Linked DNA regions of Macaca fascicularis. The protein of the gene in region 1 interacts with the protein of each later gene in a biochemical or structural test. Links are inferred from orthologs where the notes say so. Each region holds a gene or a part of one and is shown in the gene's direction. Other genes may lie near its edges.

Region 1 (10,371 bases):
ATTTGCCGAGGGTGGGGAGGAGGGAATAGAGAGGGCCAGGTCTGTGTTCTCAAAGCTCACCCTGGCTACACGTTGGAGACAGACCAGACCAAATATAGGGAGCAGTCAGGTGATTATGGAGGCCTTCCAGGTGAGTTCCCGGTTGTGTGGAAGCGGGAGATGAAGGTGGAGGGAAGTGGCTGGGTTCAAGAGGTACTTAGGAAGCACAAGTGGCAGGACTCAGTGGCAGATCCCTTATGGGGAAGCTTGGGATTCTTTAAGGTGGTGGGATAGTCAGTCACCTGGCTAACGAACCCTCATAGAGGGCTGGAGAGGTGGGAGAAGCTCATGAGGCTCAGCATCCAGGTCTGGAGCTGAGTCCTGCCCCGGCTCTTCCGTGAGTCATCTGCACACAAGTTCTATTAGTGAGAGTGCTGGACAAGATTTCCTGGGGACAAGGACCCACCTCCAGGAGCTCCGTGATGTGCCAGGGAGAGGGACATGAGTCTGAGAAGAGAGAAGGAACAGCCAGGGGCTGGCATATTGATGGTAGAAACCATGGCAGAGGTCTCAACTGGTGTGTAACTGTGGAATGTCACCCGGAGACAGGACAAAAATGTCCTGTTTATTTTTTATTTATTTATTTATTTTTTTTTGAGACGAGTCTCGCTCTGTCGCCCAGGCTGGAGTGCAGTGGCCGGATCTCAGCTCACTGCAAGCTCCGCCTCCCGGGTTCACGCCATTCTCCTGCCTCAGCCTCCCGAGTAGCTGGGACTACAGGCGTCCACCACATCGCCCGGCTAGTTTTTTGTATTTTTTTTTTTTTTTTTTGAGACAGAGTCTCGCTCTGTCGCCCAGGCTGGAATGCAGTGGCGCGATCTCGGCTCACTGCAAGCTCCGCCTCCCGGGTTCACGCCATTCTCCTGCCTCAGCCTCCCGAGTAGCTGGGACTACAGGCGCCCACAACCGCGCCCGGCTAATTTTTTGTATTTTTAGTAGAGACGGGGTTTCACCGTGGTCTCGATCTCCTGACCTTGTGATCCGCCCGCCTCGGCCTCCCAAAGTGCTGGGATTACAGGCGTGAGCCACCGCGCCCGCCGTATTTTTTTTTTTAGTAGAGACGGGGTTTCACCGTGTTAGCCAGGATGGTCTCGATCTCCTGACCTCGTGATCCACCCGTCTCGGCCTCCCAAAGTGCTGGGATTACAGGCTTGAGCCACCGCGCCCGGCCAATGTCCTGTTTATTAACCGAGGCGGGAGAGCTGGAAAGACAGGAAGTTGTGGAAGGAAGGAGGGACATTAAAGGTGGGGCCTGACGGGAAACGGTGGTTCCCAGTGATGCCCAGACCCAGGCAGGGGCTTTGGGGCAGGTTCACTGGAGAAACGGGGAAAAATGAAGGTCCCAAAAACAAAAGACAGACTGTCAGAGCTAGGGCCCGGGATGGCTCTTGTATAAGAAATCTCAAACCCCATTGGCAATGGCAGAAACTGCGGTAGGAAAAGTTCCTACAAGTGAGGAGAGTGGGGACAGTGGCTGGTGGTGACAGGAAGGAAACAGGCGGAGGAGGCACTCGCCAGGGAAGACCTTGCGCCCCTTCAGCAACCTGCTCACCGCCCCGCCTGCTTCCGGATTCCTCCCCGCCGGTCTCGGCTGCAGTGTAGGGAAGGCCTGGGCGGGGGGCGCCCCCCAAGGCTGCGGAACAGCTATCACGGGAGCCGGCACACACCCAGTAACCACCGCTGGGGCCCGCGCCACGTGGCTGCTAGTTTCCATCCACCCCGCTTTGTAATGCTGGGCAAGACGCTTTATGTTGATTTCACACACTCTTAAAGGGTCCCAGGCCGCAGTCTGAAAACCCCTGCTCCTGAATAAGTTGGTTTCCCTAGAGACCAGGAAGCGGAAGTAGTTCCGTCGTTTGTTTACACGGTAAGGAGCTTCCAGATTATTCCCAGGACCTGGCTATGAGTTTAGGCAGGAGGAGGCCCAATCGTGGGAGGCGCCAGAGAGGAAGAGGACATGGACCAGGCATGGGAGCCAAGTCTAAGGATCCCCAACACCTCCAAGGTTCTCATAGCTGGCCTTGACCAAAATATCTGAAAATTCTCATGTAGAAACTGGTTCTTCCAGCCTGAGCAACATGGTGAAACCCCAACTATACAAATAAATACAAAAACTAGCCGGGTGTGGTGTCCGCGCTTGTGGTCCTCCGCCCGCGCTCGTCCCAGTTACTCGGAAAGCTGAGGTGGGAGGATCACCTGAGCCCGGGAGGTCGAAGCTGCGGTGAGCCAAGATTGTGCCACAGCACCCCAGCCTGGGCGACAGAGGGACAGCCTGTCCAAAAACAAAAAAACACCAAACCTGTCTTTTAGGGAAGGTTAATCACCAAAATGTCAAGTGTTAGATACTTAATTTGGAGACCTCAAATCGATCGGCAAAACGATGGGCTTTTAAAAAGCATGCCGGGTGTAGCTGGGTAAGCATGAATTTATTCACCAAGGGCCCGATTCCCAAGCTAAGGGATCCTGAAGTGTGAAGGACATGGCTTCCGGGGAACCCAAAGGTAGGGAGCGCTCCTGAGCCAGCAGTGGGTCTGGAGACTCCCCGAGCGCGCAGGCCGCGGGACGGCGTCCCCTGCGCGCAGCAGCTAGAAGCCAACAGCCCAAAGGCCCCCAGGGAGCAGAGCCCCGCGATCCCGGCGCCGCCTGCGGCTGGGTTTTTTGGCAGCGGGCGCGCCGTCCGTGAGGATGACGGCTCCGGTAGTTTCCCAGGCGTGCGAGACCCGGGGCGCTCCCCGTCCACGCACGGCCCTCCCTCCAGGCGCGCCTCCCGCCCCAGCCCCGCATTCTGCGCAGCCCGGGTGACCAAACTACACCTCACTTCAAAGGCCCCCACGCCCGGGCGTGCCCTCCGCCCGCGCTCGGCAGGTGGGAGTGCAGGGAAGAGAGCGCGGGCGGCCCCAGAAGGCGCCCGGACCTTCCCGAGAATTCCAGGCCGCGCAGGCGCATTGAGGTCGGCGCGGGGGCGTGCGAGAGGCGCGGGGCGGTGATTGAGGGAAGGTTTCCCGGGCTGGGCCACGAGCAGGGCCTGCGCGCGCCAGCGGGAGGGGCGGGCCACGGCGAGGGCGAGGGCGCAGGCGCAGGCGCGCGGCCGCGGCGGCGGTTGGGGAGGGTTCTTCCGGAAGGTTCGGGAGGCTTCTGGAAAAAGCGCCGCGCGCTGGGCGGGCCCGTCGCTATATAAGGCAGGCGCGGGGGCGGCGCGTCAGTTGCTTCAGCGTCTTGGTGCTGCTGTGCGGTGGAACGTTTGCAGCCTTTTAGCCAAGGTGTGAGGGGCGGTTGTGAGGGCCTGTGGAGGTGGATTGGGGAGTGGGGGCGGTTGGCGCGGAGCGGAGGCTGTGGGGGCCGAACGGGAGCCCTGAACCCGCCAGGGCCGCTCTCCCGGGAGGCCGCGCTGCCTATTCCGGAGGCCGTGGGCCCGCTGCTGTCTCCGCAGCCCGCCTCAGGAATGGGCTGGGCGGCTGCTCCCCGAGGCTCCGCGGCAGCCCCGGAGCTGGCGCCGCACGCGAGCAGAGCGGCCCTTTGGCTGGGGGCCCCCCGGGCGGCCCAGCTGGGGCGCAGGCGGAGGAGGCCGCCCTGGCGGAGCCGCGGCCCGCGCGGGAGAGCACACGGGGTGTCGGTTGGGGACCGCGGCGCGGGACTGGGCCGGGCCTGCAGTGGCCTCCCGGAAGCGCGCACACGCTCGTGGTAGTTACCGCGCTCCGAAATGAGGTCATCCTTTGTCAGCCGCCCTTCTATTTTCGGTTTACTTAAACTTCGCAAATCTGCAATCCGGCTTTAAAAATATTGGGAGGACGCGATGGAATCTCGTGTTGCCCCTGTAGACGCTCTGCAGGGTTTTAAACCGGCGCGGTGTCGTTCCAGATGCCTGAGGAAACGCAGACCCAGGACCAACCGATGGAGGAGGAGGAGGTTGAGACGTTCGCCTTTCAGGCAGAAATTGCCCAGTTGATGTCATTGATTATCAATACTTTTTATTCGAACAAAGAGATCTTTCTAAGAGAGCTAATTTCAAATTCATCAGATGTAAGTCGTTTATTAACCCAGAATAGGATTTTGGTTTCAATATGAACTTCTTGGGGGCTGTATGCTTAATTAATATTTTGTGTTAATAGGCATTGGACAAAATCCGCTATGAGAGCTTGACGGATCCCAGTAAATTAGACTCTGGGAAAGAGCTGCATATTAACCTGATACCAAATAAACAAGATCGAACCCTCACTATTGTGGATACTGGAATTGGGATGACCAAGGCTGACTTGATCAATAACCTTGGTACTATCGCCAAGTCTGGGACCAAAGCGTTCATGGAAGCTTTGCAGGCTGGTGCAGATATCTCCATGATTGGCCAGTTCGGTGTTGGTTTTTATTCTGCTTATTTGGTTGCTGAGAAAGTAACTGTGATCACCAAACATAACGATGATGAGCAGTACGCCTGGGAGTCCTCAGCAGGGGGATCATTTACAGTGAGGACAGACACAGGTAGGTACCTGAACACTCACTGGTTAAGTCAGTGGCGGAATGGTGGGGTGTTGCAACCCTTGGACCCCTGGGGATGCGGCGAAGTTCACAGAAAGTGTGTTTACCCAAGGATCAGGAACAAGCTAGAGCTCTGAATTAGTGTGTAATGGCATGACTTGGTGATTACTTCTTTTGGGCAAGGCACTTAGATCTGCTGTGGGAGCCTTTGCATCTGTAGTAAGGGCAAACCTCGCTTCATAGACACGTTATAAGGGTTAAGCATGGCGTTGAGCACTAAATTGAATGTATTATTGAGTCAATTTTCCTTATTTCTCTTGCAGGTGAACCTATGGGTCGTGGAACAAAGGTTATCCTACACCTGAAAGAAGACCAAACTGAGTACTTGGAGGAACGAAGAATAAAGGAGATTGTGAAGAAACATTCTCAGTTTATTGGATATCCCATTACTCTTTTTGTAAGTTTCTACATAATTGCAGAGTGAATTACTGTCTGTAGGTGACTGGGGTGACTGTACTACATCCTTAGTTCCTAGGTCTGTTGAACTAGTCTGAAGCCTGGGGAACCTAAGCTCTACTAACTGTGAAGGTTCCTCGGGTTATTAAGTAGATATATCAAATATTGATGAGAAGCTGCCTGGCTGCTTCTCATCCTCGGTAATTTAGGCTTTGGCCTTAGGTTGAAAGTAGTGGGGCAGCGCTATGACTTAGTTCTAGAGTGCAGCAGTGATGCGATTTCATGTCTTTTGAAGGTGGAGAAGGAACGTGATAAAGAAGTCAGCGATGATGAGGCTGAAGAAAAAGAAGACAAAGAAGAAGAAAAAGAAAAAGAAGAGAAAGAGTCTGAAGACAAACCTGAAATTGAAGATGTTGGTTCTGATGAGGAAGAAGAAGAAAAGAAGGATGGTGACAAGAAGAAGAAAAAGAAGATTAAGGAGAAGTACATCGATCAAGAAGAACTCAACAAAACAAAACCCATCTGGACCAGAAATCCCGACGATATTACTAATGAGGAGTACGGAGAATTCTACAAGAGCTTGACCAATGACTGGGAAGATCACTTGGCAGTGAAGGTGAGTGAGGGACTGATGGATGCTTCAAGCTTGTCTTTAGATTATCATCCCACCACCCCAAATATCTGCTATAATGCATTGTTCATTGATACTTAGTGTGTTTGTTCTATTACAGCATTTTTCAGTTGAAGGGCAGTTGGAATTCAGAGCCCTTCTATTTGTCCCACGACGTGCTCCTTTTGACCTGTTTGAAAACAGAAAGAAAAAGAACAACATCAAATTGTATGTACGCAGAGTTTTCATCATGGATAACTGTGAGGAGCTAATCCCTGAATATCTGAGTAAGTATAGATAGGAAAAATAATCACTGTCACTGATTAAAGAAATACTTCTGGCTGGGCATGGTGGCTCACACCTGTAATCCTAGCAGTTTGGGAACCCGGGGTGTGCGGATCACTTGAGGTCAGGAGTTCAAGACAAGCCTGGCCAACATGGTGAAACTCCATCTCTCCTGAAATTAGAAAAATTTGCCCGATGTGGTGGCAGGCTGAGGCATGAAAATAGCTTGAAAACCCCCCTGGGAGGCAGAGGTTGCTGTGAGCGGAGATTGCACCACTGCCTTCCAGCCTGGGCAACAGAGTGAGACACTGTCTCAAAAATAATCTCCTATCATCTCCAGGTTCTTGTCTTTGCTTTTGGGGGTTTACATAGTACCAGTTTTGTCCTTGGAATGACTCAGTGCATTTGATTTTTATATTTTTTTCAGACTTCATTAGAGGGGTGGTAGACTCAGAGGACCTCCCTCTAAATATATCCCGTGAGATGTTGCAGCAAAGCAAAATTTTGAAAGTTATCAGGAAGAATTTGGTCAAAAAATGCTTAGAACTCTTTACTGAACTGGCGGAAGATAAAGAGAACTACAAGAAGTTCTATGAGCAGTTCTCTAAAAACATAAAGGTTGGTGTAAATATTTGACCATTGGTAGTTTCCCTGCTGGCCTCTTTTTAGATTTCTTTTTGAATTCAGAGAGTCTTTAGTAAAGAACATACTTTGTTTTAGCTTGGAATACATGAAGACTCACAAAATCGGAAGAAGCTTTCAGAGCTGTTAAGGTACTACACATCTGCCTCTGGCGATGAGATGGTTTCTCTCAAGGATTACTGCACCAGAATGAAGGAAAACCAGAAACATATCTATTATATCACAGGTAGGGGGACGCTATGTTACAGTCTATACGTCGTTCTTATAACCTTGTAGGCTCTGTGGGTGTGTTTTCTACTCAGGTAGCACTGTTATAACTGGCGTTGATCTAGGCAAGATAATTAACATGAACTAGGTCATTATTTGTCTTAGGTTCTGCCTAGGTATCTGGCTAGCAAAAGTTAGAAGTAGATGAAGCCATTCTTACTGTTAAAAGGTCTAAAAGTAACTTTGTAATACCTCAGGTGAGACCAAGGACCAGGTAGCTAACTCAGCCTTTGTGGAACGTCTTCGGAAACATGGCTTAGAAGTGATCTATATGATCGAGCCCATTGATGAGTACTGTGTCCAACAGCTAAAAGAATTTGAGGGGAAGACATTAGTGTCAGTCACCAAAGAGGGCTTGGAACTTCCAGAGGATGAAGAAGAGAAAAAGAAACAGGAAGAGAAAAAAACAAAGTTTGAGAACCTCTGCAAAATCATGAAAGACATACTGGAGAAAAAAGTTGAAAAGGTATGTGAATACAGCATTTCCTGATCATTGATACCTCTAGGGTGTTTTCAAGCTTAGTCATACATGACCCATTTTTCTTTGCTTTCAACTTAAAATAGAAAACTATGTCGTGTATGGTTGGGCGTGGTGGCTCACGCCTGTAATCCCAGCACTTTGGGAGGCTGAGGCAGTGGATCACAAGGTCAGGAGATGGAGACCATCCTGGCTAACACGGTGAAACCCCGTCTCTACTAAAAATACGAAAAAATTAACCAGGCGTGGTGGCGGGCGTCTGGAGGCTGAGGCAGGAGAATCTCCTGAACCCGCAAGGCAGAGGTTGCAGTAAGCCAAGATTGCACCACTGCACCTCCAGCCTGGGTGACCAAGCAAGACTATCTCGGGGGAAAAAAAAGGTGGTGTACGTAAAACGAAATTAATTATAATCTGTGCTCTTTGACTACCTAATGCAACATTTAAGTTCTATTTAATAGTATTTCGGATCTATTGTTTGGGTTCTTCAGATTTCATTTGACAATGAAGGTTTAGGGTTTAATCTTTCTAGGCTCCTAGTCATCACTTCTTGATTACAGGTGGTTGTGTCAAACCGATTGGTGACGTCTCCATGCTGTATTGTCACAAGCACATATGGCTGGACAGCAAACATGGAGAGAATCATGAAAGCTCAAGCCCTAAGAGACAACTCAACAATGGGTTACATGGCAGCAAAGAAACACCTGGAGATAAACCCTGACCATTCCATTATTGAGACCTTAAGGCAAAAGGCAGAGGCTGATAAGAACGACAAGTCTGTGAAGGATCTGGTCATCTTGCTTTACGAAACTGCACTCCTGTCTTCTGGCTTCAGTCTGGAAGATCCCCAGACACATGCCAACAGGATCTACAGGATGATCAAACTTGGTCTGGGTAAGCCTAATACTATGTAATGTTAAAAAGGAAAGAAATAGGCCGGGTGCGTTGGCTCAAGCCTGTAATCCCAGCACTTTGGGATGCCGAGACGGGTGGATCACGAGGTCAGGAGATCGAGACCATCCTGGCTAACACGGTGAAACCCCGTCTCTACTAAAAAATACAAAAAACTAGCTGGGCGATGTGGCGGACGCCTGTAGTCCCAGCTACTCGGGAGGCTGAGGCAGGAGAATGGGGTGAACCCGAGAGGCGGAGCTTGCAGTGAGCTGAGATCCGGCCACTGCACTCCAGCCTGGGCGACAGAGCGAGACTCCGTCTCAAAAAAAAAAGGAAAGAAATACACATGACAGTGAAGAAAGTGGTAAACTTTCAGTTACCCAAACTTGGAGCACCTTGTCCTGCTTGGAGGCATTCAAGAATATTTTTTTTAGGGATAAGTAAGGTCTTATAAGAGCTAAGAAATGAAATTGAGATTTATATGCCCTGTAAATACTGTCTTGAAAGCAGGTATAAATCAGGAGTATTACACTAATAGCTGGCTTTAAGAAATCTTTCTAATACGAGGATTTTATTTTGGAAACAGGTATTGATGAAGATGATCCTACTGCTGATGATACCAGTGCAGCTGTAACTGAAGAAATGCCGCCCCTCGAAGGAGATGACGACACATCACGCATGGAAGAAGTAGACTAACCTCCGGCTGAGGGATGACTTACCTGTTCAATACTCTACAATTCTTCTGATAATATATTTTCCAGGATGTTTTTCTTTATTTTTGTTAATATTAAAAAGTCTGTATGGCATGACAACAACTACTTTAAGGGGAAGATAAGATTTCTGTCTATTTCTAAGTGATGCTGTGGTACCTTAGGCACTAAAGCAGAGCTAGTAATGCTTTTTTAGTTTCACATTGGTTTATTTTAACAGACTGGGGTAACGTGTGTTGTAAGATGTATGTAACATGATGTTAACTTTGTGGTCTACAGTGTTTAGCTATCAAGCCGGATTTCTAAGTAGACCAAATCTTGTTATTGAAGTGTTCTCGAGCTATATATACCTGGATGTTTAGAAAAGTATTTGTTACATCTTGTAGGATCTTTTTGAACTTTTCATCCCCTGTAGTTGCCAATTTTGCATGTACTAGTCCTCTAGAAATAGGTTAAACTGAAGCAACTTGATAGAAGGAACTCTCCACAGGGCTTGTTTTCCAAAGAAAAGTATTGTTTGGAGGAGCAAAGTTATAAGCCTACCTAAGCATATCATAAAGCTGTTCAAAAATAACTCAAGTCTTGTGGATGGAAATGTAGTGCTGGAGTCACATTCTGCTTAAAGTTGTAACAAATACAGATGAGTTAAAAGATGTTGTGTGACAGTGTGTCTTATTTAGGGGGAAAGGGGAATATCTGGATGACATTGGTGCCAAAATGTAAAACATGAGGTGCTAGCAGTAGACGGTTAAACACTGGCCACTCCAAGGGTTGACGTGATCTTCCCAGCATATACTCCGCAGGTGTGGGGTGGAGCACATGAAGTAGGCACAGAAAATAGCAATGCAGACGTGTATCCCCTGTCTCCGTGAGTTAACACGTGTTCTCCCCTTAGCGTCCACATTGTTTTGATGTTATTCATGGAATACCTTCTGTTCTAAATACAGTCACTTAATTTCTTGGCCTTACAGTGTCTCAAAGTTGTTTACCAAATCTACTTAAAGCTATCCTGTTTGAAATCTCTCGTTACTAATTTTCTGGTTTTTTATTGAGCCAGCTGACACCTGTAAGCAGCAGGTAACAAGCTGGTGGGAAAAAGATGGGCTGGCACAAGTCAAAGGAAAAAGTGCCAGGAGCAGTGGCTCACGCCTGTAATCCAGCACTTGCGGGTAGATCACCTGAGGTGAGGAGAGCAGCCAGCCTGATAACATGGAGAAATCTCATCTCTACTAAAAATGCAAAATTAGCCGGGTGTGGTGGTGGGCCCCTGTAATCCTAGCTACTAGGGAGCCTGAGGCAGGAGAATCACTTGAACCCGGGAGGTGAAGGTTGCGGCGGGCTAGGATTGTGCCATTGCACTCCAGCCTGGGCAGCAGGAGCGAAACTCCATCTCAAAAAAAAAGACGGAAAATATCAGCTCAATAGGTAAGATTCCCTCTGGGGACTGGGGGTGGTAATGGCTAAATAAAAGTCTTCACTTCTGAAATTTGGTGGTTCTAGAAAGAAAAGTTGGTTAGATA
Region 2 (10,489 bases), on another chromosome or scaffold:
CAAAAAAGACTTCCTTAGATTTCTTGAAAATTCTGGGCCAGGGCCAGGCGTGGTGGCTCACACCTGTGTAATCCCAGCACTTTGGCAGGCGGGGGCAGGTGGATCACTAGAAGTAATGAGTTTGAGACCAGCCTGGCCAACATGGTAAAACACCATCTCTACTAAAAATACAAAAAAAAAAAAAAAAAAAAAATTAGCTGGGCGTGGTAGTGGGCACCTACAATCCCAGCTACTAAGGAGGCTGAGGCAGAATCGCGTGAACCCGGGAGGCAGAGGTTGCAGTGAGCCAAGATCGTGCTACTGCACTCCAGCCTGGACTACAGAGTGAGACTCCATCCCCCACCCCCTCAAAAAAGATAAAGAGAATTCTGGGCCGGGCATGGTGGCTCACACCTGTAATCCCAGCACTTTGGGAGGCTGAGGCAGGTGGATAATGAGGCCAGCAATTCAAGACCAGCCTGGCCAAGATGGTGAAACCATCTCTACTAAAAACACAAAAATTAGCCGGGCATGGTGGTGGGTGCCTGCAATCCCAGCTACTCTGGAGGCTGAGGCAGAGAATTGCTTGGACCCAGGAGGCAGAGCTTGCAGTGAGCCGAGATCGCGCCGCTGCACTCCAGCCTGGGTGACAGAGCGAGATTCCCTCTCAAAAAAAAAAATTCTGAATTTGCCCTGGCCTCAGGACCTTTGCATCCTCTGTTGCCTGTGTGGTCCCCTGTGCCCCCTAAGCTTCTCCTCGATCCATCTCTGACAGGCCTTCACTAACCACTCACCTCTGGGAGTGCTTTCCTTCCCTGCCACCCAGGTCATCTCTCTGTGCCTTGACTTTTGTGTTCTCTGTAGCACTCACTCTTGAGAATTATCATTTGTGCACTGATTTTGATTTAATAAATCCATGTAGTTCTTATTCCGTAGCCAGGCACTGTTTTTTTTTTCTTTGGAGACAGAGTCTTGCTCTGTTGCCCAGACTGGAGTGCAGTGGCATAATCTTGGCTCACAGCAACCTCCGCTTCCCGGGTTGAAGTGGTTCTCCTGCCTCAGCCCGCAGAGTAGCTGGGACTACAGGAGTGCACCACCACACCTGGTTAGTTTTTGTATTTTTAGCAGAGATGAGGTTTCTCCATGTTGGCCAGGGTGGTCTCGAACTCCTGACCTCAGGCGATCCCCAGGCCCTCTTCTTGACAAGTTCTAAGTGCTTTATGAATATCAAATCATGTAATCCTCACAACCACTATGATGTCAACACTTTTTAATCCCCATTTGAAGATGGAGGCAACTGAAGTACAGACAGGTTGTGCAAATTGCTTAACATCACACAGCTGAGAGTTTAGGTATCATCTTTCAGTAGAAAAGGTCCCTGTGAGCAGAAGCTTCATCTGGGGCTGCCCTGGTCACTGCTACAGCCCTGCACCCAGAGCAGTGCAACACACTCTAAAAAAAGGTGTGTGGGAAATGGGACCTGGCCATTCGGAGAGAAGCTGCTGGGGAGAAGATGGAAGGCTTGGAAAGGCCACTGCTGGTCAGGTGGGCACGTGTGGTGGCCTGGAGACAGTGCCAAGAAGAAATGAAAGGTGTCCTTGACAGATTGGATGTAGATGAATAAGAGAGGAGGCCAAGGCCTCAGAGGAACCCTTGACCCCGCTTTCCTTCATGCTCCCTCCAAAATGCATCCAGAATCCTATTCCTGTCCCCTCCTCTGCTCTCATCCTGGCTCCCTGGGATTACTGCCACAGCCTCCTAAGAGGTAACCCTGCTCTCACTCTCCCCTCTTCCTCCACACAGCAGCCAGAGGGATCCTGAGAAAACTTAAGATCATGACACTCCTCTGCTCAAAACCTGCCAATGTGTTCGGGAGTGGCAATGGCCTCTAACCCTGCAGGACCTGGCCCCTACTTCCTCTCGGCAGCTGTGCCTCCTGCCATCCTGGCTACCCCGAGGCAGCTCCCATCCCAGGGCCTTTGCACTGGCTGTTCCATGGGCCTGCAAAGTTCTCCCCCACATTTCCAAGGATCTCACTCCCTTGCTTTCTTTAAGTCTTTTCTCACCATGCCTCACTATTGAAAATGCAAAACCGCAGGGCGAAGTGCTGGGTCTGTAAACCCAGCACTGGGAGGCCGAGGCGGGCGGATCACTTGAGGTCAGGAGTCTGAGACCAGCCTGGTCAACATGGGGAAACCCCGTCTCTACTAAAAATTAAAAAATTAGCCGGGCGTGGTAGCGCACACATGTAATCCTAGCTACTTGGGAGACTGAGGCAGGATAATTGCTTGAACCGGGGAGGCAGAGGTTGCAGGGAGCCGAGATCGCCCCACTGCACTCTAGCCTGAGAGACAGAGCAGGAGTTTAAGACTAGCCTGGACAACACGAAGAAATCCGTCTATAAAAAAAAACAGAAAAATTAGCTAGGCGTAGTGGTGCCTGCCTGTAACCCCAGGTACTTGAGAGGCTGAGGTGGGAGGATGGCTTGAGCTCAGGAGGTCCAGGCTGCAGGGAGCTGTGATGGCGCCACTGCACTTCAGCCTGGAGACAGTGAGACTCAACTCCGTCTCAAAAAAAAAAAAAAAAAAAAAAAAAAAGCAGGCGGTTGGATTACACAGGCCCTGAATCCCACCCTAAAGCCTTCAGCACTTTCAAGTGAGGGATTACCAGGTTTGCAGGTCTGCAGCAACTTGGCTGCAGTGTCCAAAATGGGTGGGGCAGGTGGGATTAAAGATGAGGCTGTGGAGACAAGCTATTGGCAGAGAGGACACACTTTAAACCCTGGGAAGATGGCATTACCCAGAGAGGGGGAAGGATGAGGACACTGCAGAGCCCAAGACCATTGCCAGACCCGAGTCATGCGGCTCCTTTGTTCCAGGAACCACAGCTGACTCTAGAAGCAATAGCAGCATTTTCACTCCGCAGGTGCATCTCTTCCACGCTTTGGGGTGCCTGCCCTGACTCTGACTTCTGGGGCTGGGATTTAAGGCTCTACCAGGCCACAGTTAGCCAGCTCATAGGCGGTTAACTACCTGATTCAGCTCTTCGTCTCTTTCACTCCTTTACATCGGACTCACGAGGGCTGGGGGACAGCTCCCTTTCGCTAAGTACTTTCCGCGTGCTAAACACCGCACGAATTCCCCTCGGCCCTACAGGACCAAACGACTCAGAGAGGGTGTGCGGTTCCACTGAGGACGCCCAGCAGAACAGCCGCACCCGCCGCGATGAGATCCCCTGCCTGTCCAGCCCAAGCCCAAGCGCCCTCGCGGTCACGTGGCATTTCTGGAACCTAACAGCCAGAATGCAGGAGGGCCAGGCCGAGGCCGCAGCGCTGAACAACGCGCGCAACTGGCGGTCGAGGACCACGCAGCGCGACCGGCTAGGACCTCCATCTCGATGCGTGGGCGAAAGGCTGGGGCCCTGTGCCGCTGGCGATCCCGGGGACCGCCTGGAACTCGCGGCACTAGGGATCCAGATGGAAAGTAACCCACAGGCACCGCAGCCGCCGGAGACACGGCTACAGTACCGGACTACGGCCGAGACTGCCATATGCCACGGGCGGGGCGAAACCCAGCCTTTTGAAAGGCAGCGATTTAAACCAATCAGCGCAGAGGGTTGGCAACCCTCCGCCCAATTGGAATCGCTCTCATTCTGAAGGCGGTTCCGACTTGGAGTCCGGCAGCCCAATGGGAGAGGTGGAAATTTCCAGAACGAACGGAACCAATGGGCGCGGCCAGCGCGGCTACGATTGGCAGAGCAAAAGACCAATCTGTGTCGCAGAAGTCCGCTCCTCCCTCCGTTCGTGCAGCCTGAGATGGGTGGGTTTATAGAGCGGCGTCCAATCCTGAGGTGCGGGGGAGGCAGGGTTGAGGGAATCACTCCCCGCTGTCCAATGAGAGGGAAGTGGAGATGATGGGCTGGACCTCAAGCCAGTAGTAGAACAGCACAGAGAGCCCCCTAGAAGTACTCGACCAGTGAGCAGGCGAGGAAGGGGCGGGAGCCGGGGTCCCGGCAGCTTCTAGTAGGTTCCAGAAGGCGGCGCGTGCGGTTGGGATCGCGGAGCGGACGGATTCGATTCAACGGGGTTCCGGGCCGCGCTGCGCTATGGAGCAGGTGAAGGGGGAGGGGCGGGCTGAGGCCCCGAGACCGCTCGGGGACCGGCGGAGGCCAGGCCCGCGGTAGGGGGCGGGGCGGGTGCCAGATCTGGGCGACCGGAGCTGGGTGCTGGAGCCGGACGGGGCGGCGGCGGGGAGGCGAGGGCCGCGGGCGGCGGGCGGGAGCGGGATCTGTAGAGGCCGGCCGCGGGGAGCGCCCATCGCCCCTTGGTTGGGCGAAGAGGGCCGGGAGGAGGCCACAGCTTGGGTGAGTCCGGCCGGCGGCGGGAAGAGGGGCCGCGACCGGGCCCTGAAGGTGTCCCGAAGGGGCTGCTGCAGGCTATGCTGGGGAGGGTGCGGGCCGCAGAGGGCGGGGTGGAGTTAGGCCAGGGGCCGGGGTCGGCACCCGCGAGGTAGCGCTCCGGGAGATCTGAGACAGCCGACGGAGAAACCGCTCGGACTTAGCCACGAGGAACTTGGACGGATCCAGGGAGCGGGGACGGGAATACACTGGGTCTTAGCAGCCTGAGATCCAGTTGGGGCAAATCTTACTCTTCTGCATCTGAGAATGTGAGGGTGGGAGAGCGTTGAGCGGGGATTTGAGGAGCTACAGAGCGAGTGTAGCTGATGCAGTAAAGGGAAGGGTGCCGCAAAAGTCCTTGGAACGAATTCCATCTCTGACAGTGGTTTACAAATGTATTGCGGCCCCTCCCCCTCTTTTTGTATGCGTGTGTGTGATTGTCGAGTGACCGAGGACCGACACTTCCGAAAGGTGGATTTCTAGCTACACTGGGGCGGTTGTAGACAATTTGCAGAGATTAACCGCTAGAAGTTATGGGCCTCTGTTGAGCATTTGGGGGGCAGAGTTTGAAGCGGCTGCTGCTTCCTTTCAGTGACTTGGTTATGTCCTCAGTAGCTTGTGGTTGTGAAAGGCCTAGAGATTTTGTTCCATTGGAAGCTGTCATTGAGCTATAATGATTCATCGGAAGAAAAAGAACAAAACAACCTCCGAGAAACCTCTACCAACATCTGAGAAATCATCTGCTCGAGAGTACTACCCTCGTCGCTCCGGGCCCATAACACTTCGGGGTGACAGTTCTGAAACTATACCTGGTATTTGGTTCTTACTTCAGATCCATAAAACTAAGATTGCCCACACGCTCCCCTTAAGTAAGACATCTCGATGGACTAGTGACTACCACCCTTTTTTTGGTGGAGTTCCAGAGCTGAGCCTTTGGTCTCTTGTAGCAGTTGCTGCTTTAGGCAAAGCTCGAGCTTCCTTGCTGTATTAAAAAGAGTGGAAATGAAGTTAATAAACTTTTTGTGCCCATATAATGCTTCAGTTGTGTCTAGGATTAAATGGGCTGTATTATAGGTGAGGAAAAATTTTCTGGAATAAGACATTGCTCTTTTACTTTTAAGAAAGGATCTCGGCTGGGTGCAGTAGCTCGCACGTATAATCCCCAGCACTTTGGGAAGCCAAAGCGGGCGAATCACCAGAGGTCAGGAGTTCGAGACCAGCCTGGCCAACATGGTGAAACCCCCTCTGTAATAAACGTACAAAAATTAGCGGGGCATGGTGGCGCATGCCAATAATCCCAGCTACTGGGGAGGCTGAGGCAGGGGAATCGCTTCACCCCTGGAGGCGTAGGTTGCAGTGAGCTGTGATTGTGCCACCACACTCTAGTCTGGGCGACAGAGTGAGACTCCGTCTTGAAAAAAAGAGAAAGGACCTCTTTCTGCTGTTACCAAATTTATTTTTTATTTTTTAGAGACAGGGTCTGGTTCTGTGGCCCAGGCTGAAGTGCACTGGTGGGATCATAGCTCACTGCAGCATCAAATTCCTGGCCTCAAGCGATCCTCCTGCCTCAGCCTCCTGAGTAGCTAACCACACGCCACCACAACTGGCTAATTTTTAAATTTTTTGTAGAGACAGAGGTTTTGCTATGTTTCCCAGGCTGGTCTCGAATTTCTAGGCTCAAGCTATCCTTCAGCCTTGGCCTCCCACTGCATGAGCACTAGGATTACAAGCGTGAGTCACTTTGCCTGGTCTTAAAATGTTTGTTTTTAAATCACCACCACCCATGGTAGAAGTGTATGTGCAGATAGATAGATGGTGAATGAATATTTGACTTAGGACAGCAAACTGACATGGCGACTGTACAGATGACCTGGCATTTAACCCCAGGTGTGTTTGAGCCCACCATCTGGAAGCCATTCCTGAAAATAAACAAGACTTTGTTTTCATTTTCAACTGTGAGGTTTGTATTTCAGTTTAGAAAATACTCAAGTTGGTCTGGGTGCGGTGGCTCACACTTGTAATCCCAGCACTTTGGGAGGCGGAGGTGGGTGGATCATGAGGTCAGGTTGAGACCAACCTGTCCAGCATTGTGAAACCCCATCTGTAGTAAAAATTTAAAAAAAATAAAAAATAAAAAATCGCCCCGGGGGCGGTGGCTCACGCCTGTAATCCCAGCACTTTGGGAGGCCAAGGCGGGTGGATCATGAGGTCAGGAGTTCGAAACCAGCCTGGCCAATATGGTGAAACCGTGTCTCTATTAAAAATACAAAAATTAGCTGGGCGTGGTGGCATACTCCTGTAGTCCCAGCTACTTGGGAGGCTGAGGCAGGAGAATCGCTTAAACCCAGGAGGCGGACCTTGCAGTGAGCCGAGATTGTGCCACTGCACTCCAGCCTGGGTGACAGAGCAAGACTCTCTCTCAAAAAAAAAAAAAAAAAATTAGGTGAGCATCGAGGCGTGCACCTGTGGTCCCAGCTACATGGGAGGCTGAGGCAGGACAGTTGCTTGAAGCCGGCTGGTGGAGGTTGCAGCGGGCCAACATTGCTCCACTGCCCTCCAGCCTGGATGACAGTGAGACTCTGTCTCCAGAAAAAAAACAAGTTGGACAGATTTTGAATGTTCAAGCTTGTCTTTTTTTTCAATAGGGGCCTTTCAAATAAATCCTGCAATGATATACTTCTTACATTTAACCCAACACAGGCATCCAGCCATGTAACACATTCAGCAAAACAGTATTTACTGTTATGTGCCCTGTGTGCTGGTATTTTTTGTCCCACTTGGTCTCTTAAAATGCTGGTCATGACCTACAAAATTGATTTCCTGACCCACTGTTGATCAGTACTCTGTTTGAAAAATGCTTTTTTAAAGCATAGGCAAGAACTTCACCAGCTGCCTCTTGACACCACTTGAGTTTTGTTAACTCTTTGTCTTCTGCCCTCCATCTTGGGCTCTAGGATTTTTTATCCCTTGTTTGCTTAATTTGGCAGGTTCCTTCTGCCTGTGCCTCTGTAATGTCTCTGATTGATGGAAGTTCCTGATGTATTTCAGGATTCCAAAATCATTTCTTTCTTTTTTTTCCCCCCCCCAGATAGAGTCTCACTCTGTCCCCCAGGTAAGAATGCAGTGGCGCCATCTCGGCTCACTGCAACCTCCGACTCCCAGGTTCAGGTGATTCTTCTGCCTCAGACTGCTGGGTAGCTGAGACTGCAGGCATGCACCACCACATCGGGCTAATTTTTGTATTTTTAGTAGAGACGGGATTTCACCATGTTGGCCAGGCTGGTCTCGAACTGCTGACCTCAGATGATCCACCCGCCTTGGCTTCTCAAAGTGCTGAGATTACAGCCTAAAATCATTTCTCTTAACAAAATTATTTCTTGCATCAATTTACTGGGTCGTGAGTGGATAATACATAGAATGAGTTAGTAACTTGGGTGACATAACTATCTCACAGAACGTTTACCTCTTAAAGGTATATTTTGGTCTGGTGTGGTGGCTCACCTTTGGGAGACTGAGGCAGGAGGGTTGCTTTAGGCCAAGAGTTTGATACAAGCCTGGGCAATATGGAGAGACACCATCTCTACCACAGAAAGAGAAAAACATTTAGCCAGGCGTAGTGACATACACCTGTAGTCCCAGCTACTTAAAAGGCTGAGTTGGTCGGGCGCAGTGGCTCACACGTGTAATCCCAGCACTTTGGGAGGCCAAGGCGGGCAGATCACCTGAGGCCAGGAGTTCAAGACCAGCCTGACCAACGTGGAGAAACCCTGTCTCTACTAAAAATACAAAATTAGATGGATGGTGGTGGTGGTGCATGCCTGTAATCCCAGCTACTCAGGAGGCTGAGGCAGGAGACTCGCTTGAACCTGGGAGGCAGAGGTTGTGGTGAGGTGAGATCGCACTATTGCACTCTAGCCTGGGCAACCAGAGTGGAACTCCATCTCAAAAAAAAAAGAACGAAAGAAAGAAAAAAGGCTGAGTCAGGAGGATTGCTTGAGTCCAGGAGTTGAAGGTTACAGCCAGCTGTGATCATGCCACTGCACTCCAGGCTGGGTGACAAAGTGAGATACTGTCTTTAAAAAATACATAGATATGTATATATATGGCCGGGCGCGGTGGCTCACGCCTGTAATCCCAGTACTTTGGGAGGCTGAGATGGGCGGATTATGAGGTCAGGAGTTCAAGACCAGCCTGGCCAACATGGTGAAACCCCATCTCTACTAAAAATACAAAAATTAGCCAGGCGTGGTGGCGGGAGCCTGTAATCCCAGCTACTCGGGAGGCTGAGGCAGGAGAATCGCTTGAACCCGGGAGGCAGAGGTTGCAGTAAGCCGAGATCGTGCCACTGCACTCCAGTCTGGGGACAGAGCAAGACTCTGTCTCAAAAAATAATAATAAGATGAATAAATGAAGGAGCTTCTCGAGGGGCTGCCTGCCCTCAGGTAGGCTGCTGTGGGGCGCCTGGCCTTTTGTGGGGCAGCTCAGTGAGGAGAAACCCTTTAGTGAGGACCCTGTTAAGACAGGGCCAAGGCCTGCCTCACTTTTTTTCTTTTTCTTTTTTTTTTTATTAAAAAGTAAACTTTAATGTCTAATGCAAACTTGGGGAGGGCAGAAAGATCACACACAAGGCTGTCACTTCACACTTGGAGGGTTGCACAGCAGCCCAGCAGAGGCACTCCTCACTTCTCAGACAGTGGGATGGGCGGGCAGAGACGCTCCTCACTTCCCAGACCATGCAGGGGCTGGGCCGAGGAACTCCTCACTTTCCAGACAGTGCAGCGGCCAGGCAGAGGTGCCCCTCATTTCCAAGACAGAGGCGGGCAGGCAGAGGTGCCCCTCATTTCCAAGACAGAGGCGGGCAGGCAGAGGTGCCCCTCATTTCCAAGACAGAGGCGGCCAGGCAGAGGTGCCCCTCATTTCCAAGACAGAGGCGGCCAGGCAGAGGTGCCCCTCATTTCCAAGACAGAGGCGGCCAGGCAGAGGTGCTCCTCTCTTCCCAGTCAGGCAGCCGGGCAGAGGGGCTTCTTACTTCTCCGACAGTGGGGCGGCCAGGCAGAGTTGCTTCACTTTTTCAAACTGCTGTATCCCACCGGGCGCAGTGGCTCACGCCTGTAATCCCAACACTTTGGGAGGCTGAGGCGGATGGATCACCTGAGGTCAGGAGTTTAAGACCAGCCTGACCAATATGGTGAAACCCTGTCTCTACTAAAATTACAAAAATCAGCCGGGCATCGGGGGGGGCACCTGTAGTCCCAGCTACTTGGGAGGCTGAGACAGGAGAACCACTTGAACCTGGGAGGCAGAGGTTGCAGTGAGCCAACATGGCACCACTGTACTCCAGCCTGGGCGACAGAGTGAGACTCCGTCTCGAAAAACAAAACAAAACCAAACCCTGCTGTATCCCTACTTCTTGCACTCTAAATGTTTGAGAATGGAGAGGTTTAAACCACAGTAGCATTTCTTTATCCTCCATCCGCTTTGTAATGCAGTAATATTTAAGAATGGCAGGAATCAATTTGGGGGGCTAGCTTGACTGTTACCCATTAATGAACATTTATCTATCATGTGGCGACATGTTGTCACACCAGGAAATGGAGACTAGTTCTTCTCTGATGGGAGGAGATGGCAACCATGCCATAGGCAGGCATCTTGCTGCTCCCAAGAAAGAGAAGCCTCCGCTGCCATCCCACAGCCTTTGGGTCACTGGAGCATGGATCAGTGCCACTCCGCCCACCTTCTTCCTGTGAGGGGTGACTAGGCCTGTGCTCCATTTATCATTTGGATGCTTTGGAAATCTGTGACAGATGAATTGACTTTTCCATGAAAGGAGCCTGTAATACGTCCTGGAGTGGCTTCGTGAGCTCCATGTAGAGACCGGAAGAGTGGCAGAGCCCTCGTTCGTCACATGAGGGCTGCCGTGGAGTGCAGCCTGGGCTCTTTGCCCCTGCTTATTTTTTCTTTGCTGGCTCCCTACGGAAAGTGTGGGAAATTAAATAAATGAACTTCTTTTCTCTTTTCTGATCTGTAAAGTCACCCATTTATTTGTTGGTAACTCCAGAAAAGAATGAGTGTTATCTTAAAAGCTTGTGATTAAATGGGCTGATCATAGAGAAGC
Region 3 (10,429 bases), on another chromosome or scaffold:
GTATATCCAATCTGTTGTAAAGTCTCTCCTTTTCCACTCTTTTTTTCTCCACTGAATTACCTTTGGACCTATGTTAAAAATCAGTTGTCTACATATGGTTTGGGTCTGTTTATGGATTCTCTGTTGCATTAATCTGTCTATCTTTGCGCCAATACCACAAGGTTGACAAGTCTTGAAATCAAGTAATGTTATCTCTCCAACTTTGTTATTTTTCAAAGCTGATTTGGCTATTCTAAGTCCTTTGCATTTTCGTTTGAATTTTTTCCCCCATTTGAATTTTAGAATCAGTTTGTCAACTTCTAAAAGGGAAAAGCTCTGGGATTTTTGAATGTATTTTATTTCAGAGATGGGGTCTCTATTGTCTAGGCTGGTCTTGAACTCCTTGCCTCCAAGTGATTCTCCCGCCTCAGCCCCAACAAGAGCTGAGATTAGGCATGAGCCACCATGCCCAACTAGGGATTTTGATTAGGATCATGTTGAGTCTATAGGTCAATCTTGGAAGAACTGAGATCTCAACAATATTGAGTCTTCTTGACTCATGAATTTGGAGGAGCTCTCCATTTGTTAGTGTTCTTTAATTTCTCTCGGCAATGTTGTTGTTTTTTTTTTCTTTTTCTTTTTTTTGAGACAGAGTCTTGCTCCATTGCCCAGGCTGAAGTGCAATGGCCCGATCTCGGCTAACTGCAACCTCTGCCTCCCGGGTTCAAGCAATTCTTCTGCCTCAGCCTCCCAAGTAGGTGGAATTACAAGCACCTGCCACCACAACCAGCTAATTTGTTTTGTGTTTTTAGTAGAGATAGGGTTTCGCCATGTTGGCCAGCCTGGTCTCAAACTCCTGACCTCAGGTGATCCACCAACCTCGGCCTCCCAAAGTGCCAGGATTACAGACGTGAGCCACCGTGCCTGGCTGCAGTATTTTTTAGTTTTCAGTGCACATCTTGCATATCTTTTGTCAGATTTTTTTCAGTATTTAATATTTTGATGTTACTATAAATGTCATGGCTTTTAGCATTTTAAATTTTGATTATTACTGAGTTTGTTTTAAATCTTTTTTCTATTGAAATATAAACTTTGTAAAGTGCACAAATCTTTTTAAAATTTTCTTTTTTTAAAAAAACTTCTCTTTGGGAAAGCTTTATTGTGAAAAAGACACAAATAAGAGATTTTGTTAGATTCAGTTTGAAATTATCAAGTATAATACACTTAAGGATGGCTTCAATGTTAGACTGGGAAGGTTTTCTCTTTTAAATGAAAGGATCCTTTTCCTAGGAAGATGTTAAGTAACACAGTATAGATGACTATTTTCACTCTTCAGTTTGAAGACGAATTATCCTTCAATAAATGCCCACTTAATCCAGCATGGTTACTCCTCCCCTTCTTTAAATTACCAAAGCTAAGTACATTGGCATATTTAGTTATGTCATTTGCATATGAAAACATTTTTTTTTAAACTTTTTTTTTGAGAGAAGTCTCACTCTTGTCTCCCAGGCTTAAGTGCAATGGCTCAATCTCAGCTCACTGCAACCTCTGCTTCCTGGGTTCAAATGATTCTCCTGCCTCTGCCTCCCAAGTAGCTGGGATTAAGGCGCCTGCCACCATGGCCCCACTAATTTTTGTATTTTTTAGTAGAGACGGGGTTTCACCAAGTTGGCCAGGCTGGTCTCGAACTCCTGACCTCAGGTGATCTGCCCACCTCGGCCTCCCAAAGTGCTGGGATTACAGGCATGTAATCCTGTGCCCGGCCGAAAACATTTTATTAATGACTTCTTAAGCATTTGTCTCTCCTTCCTCCCAAGACTTCAATAAACTGATGCGAAGAATTTATGGAGAAAATTATAAAAACTTTACTGAAAGATAGATATGAGTAACTGAATGAAGCAAGCAATTACGTTCATGGATTGGAAGAGGCAATACAAGGGAAAGATATCATTTCTTCTCAAACGAATCTGCAAAATCAAAGTGAACAATTTGTTGTTGTTGTTAAGAGACTCACACTGTTATGTAGGCTGGAGTGCAGTAACACGGTAAGAGTCTCAACCTCCTGGGCTCAAGTGATCCTCCTGCTTCAGCCTCTCAAGTAGCTGAGGCACGCACAACCATCCTTGGCTAATGCTTTTTTATTTATTTTTTGTAGAGACGAGATCTCACCACCTTGCCTGGGCTGGTCTTGAACTCCTGGGCTCAAGTGATTTTTCTGCCTTGGCTTCCCAAAGTGTTGGGATTATAGGCGTGAGCGTGTACCCAGCCTGCATAAATCTTGTGCATAACTTGATAAAATTTTGTTTGAATACACTGCTGTGATTACCAGCCAGATCAAGATATGTAACATTTCCTGCATCCAAGAAGATTTCTTCATGCTCCTTTTCCCCACCCTCCCTGACAACCAGGAGGTTCCCTTATGATACCTCTCATCTAAGTGGAATCAATCATGATGTACTCTGTCTGTTTTTTTTTTTACCACAACTTAATGTATATAATGTTCATCCATATCGTTGTGTGTAGTAGTCGTTCATTGTTACTCATTGCTATATAATATTTTTTCTCCTATTTAAGGACATTTAGATTATTTCCAGTTTTTGCTACCTTGGGTAATGCTGCAGTGAATATTCTTCTACATGATCATAAATAATAAATACTCTTGGGTATATGCCCAGTGGTAGAATAATTGGGTTATGGTCTATGTATAACTAGCTTTAGTAGTGTCTGATATAGTTTGGATATGTGTCCCCACCCAAATCACATGTCAAATTGTAATCCCCAATGTCGGAGGTGGGGCCTGGTGGGAGGTAACTGGATCATAGGGGTGGGTTTCTCATGAATGGTTAAGTACCACCCCCCTTGGTACTGTCGCAACAGTGAATTCTTGTGAGATCTGGTTGTTAAAAAATGTGTACCTCCCCCCACCCTACTTGCTCCTGCCATGTAAGATGGCTGCTTTACCTTTGCCTTCTGCCTTGATTGGAAGCTTCCTGAGGTCTCTGCAAAAGTAGAAGCTGCTATGCTGCTTGTACAGTCCGCAGAACCAAGAGCCAATTAAACATTTTTTCTTTGTAAATTATCTAGTCTCAGGTATTTCTTTATAGCAATGCAAGAACAGACATATAGTACCACAGTTTTCCAAAATGATTAAACTCTCACCAGCAATATATGAAAGATATAGTTGCTGCATATCCTTGTCAATGCTTGGTATTGGAAGTCCTTTTAATTTAAGCCATTCTGGTGGTAGTCTTGGTAACTCATTGATTTCAATGTCCATAATATATAGAACTTTTTCTCATGTTGGGCCTATAGGTCAGTCTTGGAATTCACCCTTTCAGAGGCCATACATTTATGTGTATTGGTGCATGGCAGAGGCTGGTGTACACACATTAGTGCAGAGCCATAACTGGAGCATACCTGAGACTAACCCTGTGGTCTAAGAAGAACCTACGTTTGGAGTCCTGGGCTGAGGAATCCAGGAATAGCCAACCCAGAGATTCACTCCTTATCTATGAAGGACATCCACATCCCTGGCCCATATCTTAGGCTGTACAGGAAATCAAGGCCCTTTGTTTTTGGGTTAAATGGAGGTTGCTAGGAGGGTGCTAAGTGAAAATGGTATATACACTACATGCTTTTTACAAATGGTATCAGTTCTCCAGGCCAGCCCACCACTGGACCACCCTCGTATGTAAGTCCTGAATAAACCTTGTCTCCTTCACTGGCTCTGCCTCTCTTCTTATAGTGCCATCCCAACTGGAGTCAGTGGGTCCAGAAGAACAATTGGCCATTTAGATAACATCTGAAAATTAACCAGTGTAATTCACAGTAACATTTAAAAATACAAATGAACATTTCAATAAAGGCAGAAAAAGCACTTGATATTCAATGCTTTCCTCCTGATGTTACGACCAAGACAAGGAAGTCCATTATCACTATTTTTACTCAATAGTGGAAATACTAGCCAGCAACAAAAGGCAAAAATAAATACAAATAAAAGGTATAAAGGTTACAGAGAAGTTAAACCATCTTTATTCGTGGATTGCAAGATTTTGATCGCAGAAATTCCGAAAGAATCTACACAGTATTATTACAAGTAACAAGGGAACTTAGCAAGATGCTTGAATATAAGATCAGTATGTAAAAATCAATATTGTTTATTCTTACAACAAGCAGAATATTAAAAAGTCAAAATGCCATTTAACATAAATCTAATGAAAGATATGTATCATCTCTATACTGCAATCTATCCAAGCACAGCTGCATTAAAATATAGATATATGGGCAATCTACAAAACATTGCCAGGAGAAATTAAAGACCACTTAAATAAATGGTGGGGTAGAATGATACTCATGGATTGAAGGACTTAATGTTAAGATACTAGTTTTCCCCAAACAGATCTATAGATTCAATGCAAGTCCAGCAAAAATCCCATTTTTTAATTTAACCTAATTCCAAAATTCACCTAGAAATACAAAGGTCGTAGAATGAGCCAAAGCAATCTTGGGAGAATAAGTTACAGGACTTAAAGATTTATTATAAAACTACATTAAGTTAACACAGTTTGGTACTGGTATAAAGTTAGACAAACACTACTCCCTCTCGCTCCTCAATCTGCCCCCATCCCTGGAACATGCTGGCAGCTTTCTCCATCCGATCTGCAAGCGTAAAGAGCGCTGAGGAAGGGCTGACCGACTGGCGTGGGAAACAAAGCGGCACTGAGATAACTTAGGCCACCTTCCTCCCCTCAGTACCTTCGGATGGAAAAGGTTTCCCTTCTTGGTCTGGGAAGCCCACTAAGAAGAAATCCTGGGCTGTGGGGCCGCCCGGCGCGTTGCCCCAGGAACCAGAAGGCTTTTTGCCGCTATTAGGGCAGAATGACTTCCGGTGAGTCCCAGCCGTTTAGGATTCCCAGCCCAAAGATCGCGGGAATCCAAGCGTCATCCGGGCCTCTGCTCCCGGAAGCGACAACGCAGCCGCGAATGAGGTAATGGAAGCGAAAGGACTTGGCTACCTGTGGCAGCCATGATAGAAACTAGGGAAAATGGAAGCTCGAAGTAGCTTGCGTTATTAACTGACATACAAACGCCCCTAACCGCCACACGTTCCTGAGGGATGACAGTACGTTACAAAAGTGCTTGTAAACTACTACTGAAAGCTCCGTGGGAGTGCCCGCTGGCGTGGGCGCCGTGGAAGGGAGGGAGAACGTGTACGCCCCAGGCTTCAGTAACCATGGCTGCGAGGGGCGGGGACTGGGAGCGCTGGTCCTGGGCCGGGGTGGGGCTGGGAGGAATCGGTCCTCCACTGTCCCGGCTGGCCCCGCGCCGGCGTGTCGCCTCCCTTTCCGCTAGCAGCACGCTGCGTGGCTGCTCGTTGGCTATTTAGGACGGAAGCTCGGTTGGTGTTTCTCCAGAAGTTTCCCCCTTGGGCGGTAGTGGAGGTGGTAACCGCGATAGTAGCAACTCCGGCGGCAGCAACAGTGACTACGAGGGATGGCGGCGGCTGCAGCAGGAACTGCAACATCCCAGAGGTGCGTGTTTTTCTTTCCCTTTGCTATTTATTTTATCCCCCTTTCCTTGGCTAGTGAGCCGTGCTGAAGTCGTTGTTTTCCTGACAGGTTTTTGCAGAGCTTCTCGGATGCCCTAATCGACGAGGACCCCCAGGCGGCGTTAGAGGTGAGAGAGCCCATTTCTGCTTCCTCCACTCTCTTTAGGGGAACTGGGCCACTTCGGGGCCCGGCTGACTCGCCTTCTCCCAGCACCGCCGGACAGGGACCCAGGCTCTTGTTGATGCTGCGTCTCAGCCCCGGTATTGAGATTCTGGGTCTCCTTTCTCTGTTCCACGGTAGCCGCGTTACCCTAGACTCCTATCTCGCCCTTTCCACTCCCTACAGCTCCTGAGAAAAACCTGTATTTCTTGGGAGCATGGTTGGCATTTGTAGTTGGGTTGAAAGAATTTTTTTTTTTTTTAATGGCATTTATGACTAGAAGAGAAAAGTGGGCTCTGGGCTGGGCTGAAAGGATTTTTGTTTTTTAATGACGTTTGTGACTAGAAAAGTGGACTCTGGGCTCGATGAAGTTAAGTTTTTCGTTTGACAATCATTCTTGCCACTCTTATGTAAAAGTGTCGGTATGAAGTCGGTTTATTGGAGCAAAAACCTTTTCCCTCACGTCCCTGAAACTTTCCAGATGTCTTATCACAGTTCATTATTCACTCATTTGTATATACATCAAAAATTGTTTTTGAGTGGCAGTGTGCAAAGGCGCTGATTGCTATGGGTTAAAGTCTTCGTTATATACTTAGCTAACTTAGAAATCACTTTTTGTAGGTGTGCAGTGAAGACAAACCATAAAGCTGTAAAGGAATGTAAAAGAGCAAGAGTTAAATAATAAGAATTAGAGGAGAACCTAAAGATAAATGATGGTGTGGGTCACAGAATTTAGCCAGGAGTTTGTTTTTTGCGTTACATCACAGAGAAGAGGAAACCTGTTTTGTTGTTATGTTTAACACTTTGAGGCAAGACAGCGTTTTTTCTAGCTATGACTTTTATAAGAAATGTGCCACATGGTACTAGAGCCTCCGTTGAGAAGATCTTTGAGCTGAGATCTGAAGCAACAAGGGATATTACTTGGAAGCTCTGGGGGAAGAGTATTCCAGGCAGGACCAAGAGCCAGTGCAGATCCTGAGGTAGGAATGAAGTTGGGCCTGTATGTGAAGCAACAAAAAGGCTCTTTTTATTAGAGGGCCCATTTGATTAAAAGATAAGGTTGGACAGGAAACTAGGAGCCAGGTCCTATAAGGCCTTTTAGGGTCCAGGTGTTTTTTGTACCTAAATATATAGACCTTTAGATACTGGGAGTAAGGCTTCTGGGATCAGTTTGGGGATAATGTTACAGAAAGCACTGATAATTTTTCTCCATAATTCCTTGTATTAGCTAGACAGCTATTACTTTTAATTTACATTTGTTATTGTCCTGTTAGACCTAGTGCTTCGTTTGGAAATCCGCTTTATATAAAAGTTGCTTTTAAACAATATTAACATAATGAATTTTATTGTCACTTTCCATCTTACTGTACTTTTAAAAATGTTTATGGAGGCATATATGATATGTGTAAATAACACAAATTTTAAATCTATAGTTTGATGAATTTTCACATGTTTACACCACCAGATTAAGATACAGAGTATCTCCATTCATAATGCTCCTTCGTGCTCCTTCTGAGCCAGTAATTCTTCTTACTGTCCTGCTGACTCCTGTTTTGACCTCCATCACCATCAATTAGTTTTGCTTGTTCTTTACTCATAAACAGAATCATACAGTAGGTGCTTTGTTGAATGTAGGCACTCTGTTTTTGCTTTAATCATTACGTGAGTATACATTCATATTGTGTGAAGCAGTAGTTCTTTTGCGTTGCTGTGTAATATTCCATTGTATAAATATATGTTGTACAGCTGTAAGTACAGCGCAATTTATTCTAACAGTGGAAATCTGGGTTTCTAGTTATTAGCTAGCATAAATAAAGCTTCTGTGAATACTCTTGTACGTGTATTTTGGTGAACACATGCATTTCTTTTGGTTGTATGTACCTAGGAGAAGAATTGCCTAGGATAGTCATGTGGCTAGTATTAGTACCTTGGTTTTTAATGTGTGGCTCTTGGACCAGCAGTAGTAGTATCACCTGGCAATTAATTAGAAGTGCAGCCGGGCGCGGTGGCTCACACCTGTAATCCCAGCATTCTGGGAGGCCGAGGCAGGCGGATCAGGAGGTCAGGAGTTTGAGACCAGCTTAGCCAACATGGTGAAACCCCGTCTCTATTAAAAATACAAAAAATTAGCCGGGCGTGGTGGTGGGCAGCCATAATTAGCTGCCCGCGAGGCTGAGGCAGGAGAATCGCTTGAACCCTGGAGGCAGAGGTAGCAGTGAGCTGAGATCGTGCCATTGCACTCCAGTCCAGGTGACAGTGAGGTCCGGCCATCAAAGGCATTAAATCCCGGCACAGCGTTTTCAGTTTTACATGATCGTGGAGATGTGTCAAGAATTTGGAGAAAGGAAAATGAAATTTTCTGAATTACAAAACCTACTTTAAAAGCAGAATAGATGGTTAATTGGAGGAGGAACAAGGGATAGTGGGTAGCAGGAAGATGGTGGTGCTGACCGGATCGAAGAATAATATCTGCGTGTAGGGTAGTGATTGAGAGCATGAAGGGGAGTTGTTTTATGTAAAATGCACTGGACTTGGTAACAATTGGAATATAAGGGATGTCTCCTGAGATTCTGGCTGGGGGAATGTAGTAGGAACTGGTGCTATTCATTTAGATAGCATTTAGGATGATAGCACTTAGAAGATTGCATTCAGCATTGGGGAACAGGTTTGAGGAGAGAAAGTAGTTTTAGATTGTGAATATTTGTACATGAGTTGCCCCTGGGACATTTCAGGTAGTCTAGAGAAAACTATGTGCTGCTGTTGCTCAGGGGCACTGTCTAGGCTCAAAATAGACTTGAGTCATCAGCATGCATCAACACATATGTGAATCCCCCCAATAGTTAAGGAATCAAAGAATGTTTGTAGAGGGGAAGAAGCCTTAAGTACTGATCCCAAGGAGAACATTAGTTTTTAAGAGGCAACAGAATGGTAAGCCGAAAGGCCTGGTTATTATTGTCAAGGGCCGCAGAGAGATCAAGTCAGATAGGAATCAGTTGGATTTGATAAGGGGTTATTAGTGATTTTGAGAAGATTAAGACTAGAGAGGCAAATATTTTTGTATTCTGTGGCAAAGAAGATGAGGTCAAAGCAGAGACCAGGGAAAGGTCTGAAAAAAAATCTGCAAGGAGAAAAATCAATACTTTTCATTGAATGGTTACTAGATGCCACATACAGATCTAGGCAAGCCCAGCACCCTGCAGTCATCTTCAATTTATCTTATCTCACATGTTCACCCATTAGCAAGTCTCGCTGCTTCTAATATGTTCCAACTTACTGTATTTCTCTTCGTCACCTCTGTGGCTAACATGCTTTTCTAACCTAGACTTTAGTAGTTTCCTAAGAAGTCTCCGTTTCCAGTCCTGATTTGATAATGTATTCACCAGACTGCAGCCAGAATGACATTTAAAAAAATAGTAAATTGGACCATGCTCTTACAGTGAACTTTCCATGGCTTTCCATCACACCTAAGGTCCAAATTCCTTATACAGTCTGCAGCCTACAAAGTGAGGCCCTTGAAGTGTAGCAGGTTACAGCTTCTTTGCTTTCTTGGTTTGAGCCACACTTTCTGTTGATTGATTGTAACCCCATGTAATTTGAGGAGCATCTGTACATGTTGCTTTGTGAGAGTCACACTACTAGGTTAAAGCAAAGTCAATGATACATGTGGCTCTTGAAATAATTTTACCATTAAAGAAAACTACCAAATCCCTAGAGTTTGTAGTCAGTTGGCAGAAAATAAAAGTGTTCCTGCACTTGTCCTTGATCTCCCAAGTTGTGTAATCTTTTGCATCATTGTTTTTCCAGCTACCACACCTATATGTTGTGACTGCATGGGTTGAAAAAGTTTCAGTCTCTAATGTTAACTCTTGATAGTTGACATAGCCATCTATTAGATTGTGTCTGGGCTTTGAACAGAATATTTAGTTGGGTTTTATTAGAGTTGTGTGCTATTGATAGAGGCTAGGAGAGGGCCAGGTAAGCTTGATTGTGTATGTATTGATTGTCTTAACCTCCCTGAGTGCTAGATTTAACTTCTCGTCTTTTTTTTATTGCACAGCTTCACATTTTCTAGGAATCTCAAATTCTATGTGGTGTTTGAATCTTCTTCAGATTAGGAGGAGGAAATCTGTAATGGTCAATGTATAACAATTAAACTCTTAAGAATATATGAGGTGATAATAATGATCATTTATTGAATTCTGTAGACCAGGAACTAAATACTTTATGGTACACAGATACTACATTAGATTGTCTACTTTTGGGAGGAGGGGCAAGAGAAGTGGGGGAGATACTGATCCTTTTATAAGGAAAAACTCCAAGGTTATATCCCTGTTAGCTTTCCTCCAAATAGCTTCTGACAATAAGTTACTTGATTAAAAATTATGTTTTAATTAGAATTTGATGGCTTTTTACAAACTTTTACTGACACTCAACATGTTTGTTTTTGTAGGAGCTGACTAAGGCTTTGGAAGAGAAACCAGATGATGCACAGTATTATTGTCAAAGAGCTTATTGTCACATTCTTCTTGGGAATTACTGTGGTAACTTTTCTTATAAAGTATATTGCCCTTTTTAATAAGTTACTTACACATTTTACCCATGACAAATTAAAGGTTGTCTTTGAGAATTTTTAAGTTGGTCTTTGATACAAGGTAAAGTAGCTCAAATGTGACAGACACGTTGAGCAACACCCATTTAAATTTTATGGATGTCGCTTTTTCCTTCATTGGGTGGAGAATGTA

What was found.
Region 2: the proteins of HSP90AA1 (region 1) and STIP1 form a complex in vitro, tested with the Homo sapiens proteins (9 studies listed by BioGRID). The link is inferred for Macaca fascicularis from reciprocal best matches to the Homo sapiens genes HSP90AA1 and STIP1.
Region 3: the proteins of HSP90AA1 (region 1) and SUGT1 form a complex in vitro, tested with the Homo sapiens proteins (4 studies listed by BioGRID, with this or other methods). The link is inferred for Macaca fascicularis from reciprocal best matches to the Homo sapiens genes HSP90AA1 and SUGT1.

Annotation. Positions count from the first base shown.
Region 1 is NC_088381.1:170,183,363-170,193,733, reverse strand, and holds HSP90AA1 (heat shock protein HSP 90-alpha), read left to right. Parts: upstream 1-3,240; 5' UTR 3,241-3,299; intron 3,300-3,897; coding exon 3,898-4,059; intron 4,060-4,148; coding exon 4,149-4,515; intron 4,516-4,835; coding exon 4,836-4,969; intron 4,970-5,263; coding exon 5,264-5,584; intron 5,585-5,699; coding exon 5,700-5,865; intron 5,866-6,290; coding exon 6,291-6,481; intron 6,482-6,583; coding exon 6,584-6,731; intron 6,732-6,969; coding exon 6,970-7,238; intron 7,239-7,807; coding exon 7,808-8,141; intron 8,142-8,727; coding exon 8,728-8,837; 3' UTR 8,838-9,502; downstream 9,503-10,371. UniProt on the Homo sapiens protein: Molecular chaperone that promotes the maturation, structural maintenance and proper regulation of specific target proteins involved for instance in cell cycle control and signal transduction.
Region 2 is NC_088388.1:10,207,076-10,217,564, reverse strand, and holds the start of STIP1 (stress-induced-phosphoprotein 1), read left to right. Parts: upstream 1-4,025; 5' UTR 4,026-4,083; coding exon 4,084-4,092; intron 4,093-4,226; exon of another isoform or gene 4,227-4,341; intron 4,342-4,986; exon of another isoform or gene 4,987-5,186; intron 5,187-8,915; exon of another isoform or gene 8,916-9,204; intron 9,205-9,356; exon of another isoform or gene 9,357-10,390; intron 10,391-10,489. UniProt on the Homo sapiens protein: Acts as a co-chaperone for HSP90AA1. Mediates the association of the molecular chaperones HSPA8/HSC70 and HSP90.
Region 3 is NC_088391.1:31,856,344-31,866,772, forward strand, and holds the start of SUGT1 (protein SGT1 homolog), read left to right. Parts: upstream 1-5,391; 5' UTR 5,392-5,472; coding exon 5,473-5,510; intron 5,511-5,597; coding exon 5,598-5,655; intron 5,656-5,682; exon of another isoform or gene 5,683-5,788; intron 5,789-10,137; coding exon 10,138-10,228; intron 10,229-10,429. UniProt on the Homo sapiens protein: May play a role in ubiquitination and subsequent proteasomal degradation of target proteins.